2 linked regions of the Canis lupus familiaris genome follow. The protein of the gene in region 2 purifies or fractionates together with the protein of the main gene of each other region. This does not show direct contact. Links are inferred from orthologs where the notes say so. Each region holds a gene or a part of one and is shown on either strand. Other genes may lie near its edges.

Region 1 (3,500 bases), on a different chromosome or scaffold from region 2:
AGAAATTCAGTATTTAAATAACTTCCCAAACTTTTCTGGCCAAGGGGACTGGAAAAAGTTTACTGAAGTGACAAGATTCAAGGTAATTAAATACTAATCAAAGTAGAACCAACTATATCCAAATTAACTTCTGTATTTAATGCAATTTCCATTAAGATTCCAAGGGGACTGGGGAGGAGCCTATTGAGAAGTTCATTTTAAAATTCAATGGAAAAAGCAAATGTCCAAGAATGGCTGAGAAAATTTTGGAAAAACAAAAATAATGAGAGGAGGCTTGACCGACCACAGAAAAAAAACTTACTATGGAACCACTAAAATTAAACACACTGAAATTAAACCACACTATGAAAAAAACTGAAATTAAAAGATGGACTGCTTGTCTCTGGGCAAAGAGGTTATGGAACAGAACAAAGCATTCAGAAACAGGTTTGTGTGTATATATAATAAGATTTAACAGGGACAAAAGTGGGAATGTCAATCAGTAGGAAAAGGATTAACTTCATAATAAATGGGGCCTACACTGTAATAAATGAACATGGAAAATAAGAGAAATTTTTACCTCATATCAAAACACAAAAAATTCTAGACCAAGCATACTTACATGCATGCAATCTGTCCCATCAAAATACAATAGGGTTATTTTTAATTAGTTTTTTAAAAAAGTACACCTAGTTGGAGTAGTTTTTGAAAGTACTAAACAGAATTATTTCTATTATCTTAGAGTGGGGGAGACCTTTCTAATTAGAAAGGAAAAGACAGATTCAATGAAGTAAATGTACAGACTGCCTCAATATAAATCAATCTAGTTGAAGGATGTGAGCAGGCAATTCACAGAAGAAATGCAAAATGGCTGGTTATGAAAAACTGTATGATTTCATCAGTAACCAAGAAATAAAAATGAAAATAAGAGTTTTTTGTTGCCGGCAATATTGGAAAAAAAAAAAAAAAAAAAAGAACCAAGATAAGGGATGTCTGGTTGGCTCAGAGGTTGAGCGTCTGCCTTTGGCTCAGGGCATGATCCCAGAGTTCCAGGATCAAGTTCCACATCAGGCTCCCCTACAAGGAGCCTGCTTCTTCCTCTGCCTATGTCTCTGCCTCTGTCTCTCAGGAATAAATAAATAAAAAAAAAACTATGGATAATATTCAGTAATCCTATTTTTTGACTCCATATTTTCACTCCTAGAAATATGGTCTGCAGAAACAATCCCAGAAGTATACAGAAGTGGCCTGTCAAACTGGAAATGTGCCATTGGCATATTTGTTTTTCCTTATATGTGTTGTTGTAAAATAAAAGCATGTTACTCTGCTAAAAAAAAATGTATAAAATGTATAAAAAAAAATGTATGTATATATCTTCTATGTAAGTAGTTGCAAGTCTATCATGCTTAAGCCCTGAAAGGCTTAGGTTAAATCTGTTATTACATTGAACCTGAGGAGTTGATGTTCAATTTGATACCAAAGGCCATAGATTTAAGTAAAGTCATGGATGAAAATAATTTTAATAACAAAAAAAAATTTTTTTTAAAGTATGCTTCATGCCCAGCATGGAGCCTGACACGGGGCTTGAACTCACAACCCTGAGATCAAGATCTGAGTTGAGATCACGAGTTGGATGCTTAACTGACTGAGCCACCCAGTGCCCCAATTTTATTAAAAATTATTCATAGTGTATTACTATAGTCTATGCATCAGGAAAGCCTGACTGTGGGGCACCTGGGTGGTTCAGTTGGTTAAGTGTCTGATTCTTGATCTCAGCTCAGGTCAGGATCTCAGGGTTGTGGGATCAAGCCCTGCATCAGGATCCTTACTTGGTGGGGTATCTGCTTGGGATTCTCTTTCCCTCTGCCTCCATCCTCGTATGCATGCACACACACTCTCTCTCTAAAGGAAAAAAAAATCTTAAAAAAAAAAGTTTGACTGTAATCTCAATCTTTCTGAATTTCCCAATTCATAATGAGAAACAATTCCAAGGGCAGCCCGGGTGGCTCAGCGGTTTGGCGCTGCCTTCAGCTCAGAGCCTGATCCTGGAGACCCGGGATCGAGTCCCGTGTCGGGCTCCCTGTGTGGAGCCTGCTTCTCCCTCTGCCTGTGTCTCCGCCTCTCTCTGTAGCTGTGTGTCTCTCATGAATAAATAAATAAAATCTTAAAAAAAAAAAGAAACAACTCCAAGCAAACAAATGAACATAACAAAACAAAATGAAAAACCCTCCACCCCTTGGCTACAAAGGAGCAAAAGATGACCAAATATGAAGATGGAGAAAAAGATCTGGAACATCTCAAGTCCAGTCCACACACAGACACTCTACCTTGTCACAGCACTCAATAGCTTTGGTGTATTCTCTAAGCTTCAGGTAGCACATGGCCAGGTTCAGGAAGGCGGCAAGCAGAAATGACTCAGAAGCTTTTGACTCCTTTTCCGATAAGCCATATTCCATCTCTAACCACGATACGATCTTCCCATATTGAATCACTGCCTGCATGTACTTGCCTCCCTGGTAGAAAAAAAAAAGCTAGTGAGAATTTGTTGTACAGGCTCTGGGTCAGGGGTACAAGAGAAATGTTAGCTCAGGCCTCCCTAAAAAAAAACAAATCATCAAAGTGAAACAACCTCTCCTACTGACCATGGTATTTGATCATTTCTTTTTGCTCTTGAGAGATAGCCATCCTGGCCCCTTTCTCCATTCTCCTTGCAGCGCCAGTGCTTTCTGAGCTGGTTTGGGACAGTGAATTATAGAATGCTGTTCTCCAGCATGTACCATCTCATCTTTTTCAGAGGGGACAGTTCTTCCAGCAGGAGGGCATCAAGGCTTTGGGTTACATTCTTTGGTACAAGTATTTATCAGACTTTCAAAAGGTTGGTGAGTAGTTTTTTTTTTTTTAAGATTTTATTTATTTATTCATGAGAGACACACATAGAGAGAGAGAAAGAGAGAGAGCGGCAGAGACACAGGCAGAGGGAGAAGCAGGCTCCATGCAGGGAGCCCGATGTGGGACTTGCTCCGGGGTCTCCAGGATCACGCCCTGGGCTGAAGGTGGCGCTAAACCGCTGAGCCCCCCAGGCTGCCCGGTGAGTAGTTTTAAACTCTATCACTAATTTACTTGAAGGGGAAGTTACTTTTCCCTCATCTCCTGAGGATCAGCACTCCGTAGTAGAGACTGCATTCTGGCAAGTGCCAGCTGTAAACACAGCAAATCTTAAGTTACCTAAACCAAGAGTTGCCAAACTTTTTCTGTAAAGGGGCAGATAATAAATATTTTAGGCTTTGCAGGCCAAACAATGTCTGTTGCAACTGGGTCAACAGTAGTGCAAAAGCAGCTATAGACAGTATACAAATGTGCTTGATCCCTGAACAACACAGGTTGGGGTTGGGACTCCCCAGGCAGTCGAAAATCTGTGTACAACTTATTTCAAAAATGATTTACTTTTATTATTTTATATATTCATTTTTTCATCATGACAAGTACATTCTTTAATCCCCCTCACCTATTTTACCCATCCC
Region 2 (3,082 bases):
GCAGGCTTAGGCCCCCACCCTTGATCCTCTCCCCTTCAAGGCAACTTCTTTACTGAGGAAAGGCCCTTACTAAGGAGAGCTTTCCATCACCTCCCACCCCCACTCCAGCCATATCCAGTGTCAAATTCCAAATGTGTTCTTGGTTAAGTGTTTGTGTGGGCCTCAATTTCCTCATCCTGTAAACGCCCGGTTTCTGTTAAGACAGGTGCCCCTCCCTCCGCCCCCACGCTGTTCCATCCTTAAACACAGGGAGAATGCCTTGCTCCCCAGCCCCGCATCTCCATTGCCAGGGTCATCGCAACCCTAGGCCGACCCCAAAATCCCTTTAAGTCGGCTGAGGCTGGAGAGCCCAAAAGTCCGCTTTGAATCCACCCAGTTCCCTTTCGAGACCTAGACCAAGAACCTTAACAAGCTTTCCTCCACAACGGGGCGCCGCGCCTGCCTCCCCGGGGGACGACCTCCCACCCCTGCTCGGTAAAAGGGCCACTGCTAGAGGCAGGTTCGAGGAAGAGCGAGTTTATTGCAAGTTGCAAGGAGGCAGTGCCGGGAGCGCGCCTTCGCCCACCGGCATGCGCGGCTGCCTAGAGAAGGGCGCCCTCCACCCGCGTCCACTCGCGGGCAGCTCCTCCAGGTAGCCACCGCCTGCCAGCAGCCGTCGCTCATTCCACGCTGGCGCAATGCTTCCGTTTCTTCTCGTCCCTTCCCCTCCCGAGGCCTTCTCTTGGGGAACAGAGGAAGCGCTTGCGCCCTCCTGCTCTCGGGATCGTGGGGAGAGGGGTTAGATTCCAAACAGGGGCGACTACGGCCCCAGCCGTCCAGACAGGAAAAAGGGGGAAATGCGCGTGCGCAGTGGCGCGTGTCGGCTTCGCGGGGGTACGGAAGCGCGCTTCACGCGCGTGCGCTGCGCTTGCGCAGTGCTCGGGACGGCGGGAATGGTGGGAACCCCGGCTTCTAGCCGGAGTCCCCCGCACGCAGCCAGCCGTTGCGCGCTACCTGGCCCGCTGAGGGCCTGGCAGAGGGGCTGAACTGCAGCAGTTCTGCGATCAGGGCCCTGCAGCGCTCGGACACCTCGAGGCCATCGGGGTAGAGGACGCCGCGCTTCTGGCGCCTGGGCAGACCAGCGATATCCGAGTCATCGAAGGGCATGCACCCGGTGACCATGACGTAGAGCACGACGCCCAGGCTCCACACGTCGTACTTCTTGGGGTCGTATGGGATACCCAAGAGAACCTCAGGCGACGCGTAGGCGGCGGAGCCGCAGTAGGTGGTGCTCAGGTCAGGATAACCGTGTGCCTGGCGACCAAAGCCAAAGTCAGTGAGCTTGACGCGGCGCTCGTCGGGGCTCAGCAACACGTTTTCGCACTTGAGGTCACGGTGCACGAGGTGGTGGTCATGCAGGTAGCGCACAGCCCCAGCGATTTGCGCGAAGAGGTCGCGCGCCTGACTCCCGGGGATGCGCCCGTTGCGCTGCACTGCCTGCAGCAGGTCGGTGGCGGCCGCCTCCATCACGATATACAGCTTCCCGTTGCACACTTCGATGAACTCGAAGACGTGCACGATGTGCGGGTGCCGCACGCCCCGAAGGATGGACAGCTCACGCGGCAGAAACTTGTTGACGAAGTCGGGTGGCGCGCGCCGCCGGTCCACCACCTTGATGGCCACCGTGCCCTTGTACTTCTTGGACGTGGCCACCTTCACCTTGGAGTAACTGCCCTCGCCTATCGTGCGTCCCAGCTTATAGCCGAGTTCGCTCAGAAGTTTGTCGCCCGACATGGTGGCGCCTGGGGCGCGCGGGGAGCAGGAGGCGGCTGCTGTCGGGGGGCGGCCGGACTCCAATCTCGGGCCTAACCCATGGCGCTTGGCACCTGCACACCCGCACCCCCATGTGCCCACTCCCGGGTCCCTGCCGCGGCGGGGCCTTTTATTACCCAGGTAACAATTTCTGCCTTGTGAAGTGACTGCGGGCGTCACCCCGCCTCGGGTAAGGGCCCCCTGGACCCCGCCCCACAGGGCCACTCAAGGCCATCAGGCTTTGTGACTCATAATCACTCTAAATGGTCCAGTTCCCATGAGAGGCTACTAGCAAGGGGTCCCGACCACCACTCGGGAGCAGCATCGGTGCCTGGCATTGGGGCAGCTCCTCATGAGTCAAATCTGAGCAGCAGTCGTCCCCTCAGCTTCGTGTACCCAGCCCTGGCCGTGTGGAGCCTTGGGACGCCCGCACAGCCCCGCGAAGGGGAGAAAACGAGAAAGGGGGCTTAACACTCGGTGACGTGGCTCCCTCAGAGCTTGGGGTAAATGGCCTGAGCATCGCACCAGAGGGAAGGTGTAAGGGAGGTCCTTTAGGGCAAGGACCTGGGCGACTGGACGGACTACAGCCGTCTACAGCGACTGAGGCAGCCCCGTCTAAAAGAAGAAACAGGGAGTCTTCCGCTGCAGCTTGGCCACTCAGTTGATCCCTGTAGCCATCGCCCAACCTCCCTCGCAGTGGGATCGCTCCGCTAAGGTCCTAGGTGCCCTAGTCCCCGCCCAAGACCTGCGCCGTACGGTCCGCCACACTCATCATGGCGGCGGCCGCCGGACGTAACTTCCGCCCGCGGCCGGAAGTGCGGGTCCTGCGAGCATGGCTGCGTCGAAGGTGAAACAGGACATGCCCCCGCCGGGGGGCTATGGCCCCATCGACTACAAGCGGAACCTTCCGCGTCGGGGACTGTCGGGTCAGTGTCGCACAGCGCCGGGGTGTCAGAGTTGGGGCTTCGGGGCGCCGCGACGGGGGCGGGGCGTCGGGGGGGGGTCGCGGGCCTCAGTTTCCACTGCGGTGTGAAGGGAGAAGGAGCCCAGGGGTCCCCAGTAGCTTCGGTGGTAACGACGGTAACTGCTGGAGTTCGTCAAAAGCTTGCTGAGCTTTGCTTTCTTTACAGAACAGCCCAGGAGGTCGATCCTATTAATTCTTTCCATTCTGCAGTTGGTTAAACAGATGAATGTAGCCGGTGCCCCGAGCCCTCGGCCACACTTCCCTCTCACAAGCGGAGAAACAGGCCCTGGAAAGGCTGCTACCTGCCCCCAGGGCCACCCAGTGTAA

Evidence for each region. Proteins that work in one complex are often made in the same cells at the same time.
Region 1: the proteins of TSSK6 (region 2) and FKBP5 purify together in Homo sapiens (affinity purification with mass spectrometry; 4 studies listed by BioGRID and IntAct, with this or other methods). This does not show direct contact. The link is inferred for Canis lupus familiaris from reciprocal best matches to the Homo sapiens genes TSSK6 and FKBP5.

The regions. Positions count from the first base shown.
Region 1 is NC_049233.1:4,906,467-4,909,966, forward strand, and holds part of FKBP5 (peptidyl-prolyl cis-trans isomerase FKBP5), read right to left. Parts: intron 2,493-3,500; coding exon 2,307-2,492; intron 1-2,306. UniProt on the Homo sapiens protein: Immunophilin protein with PPIase and co-chaperone activities. Component of unligated steroid receptors heterocomplexes through interaction with heat-shock protein 90 (HSP90).
Region 2 is NC_049241.1:44,140,202-44,143,283, reverse strand, and holds TSSK6 (testis-specific serine/threonine-protein kinase 6), read right to left. Parts: upstream 1,923-3,082; 5' UTR 1,774-1,922; coding exon 952-1,773; 3' UTR 501-951; downstream 1-500. Other genes in the region: NDUFA13 (NADH dehydrogenase [ubiquinone] 1 alpha subcomplex subunit 13), read left to right, coding at 2,624-2,717. UniProt on the Homo sapiens protein: Serine/threonine-protein kinase component of the sperm flagellar doublet microtubules. May act as a regulator of sperm motility by mediating phosphorylation of sperm doublet microtubule proteins.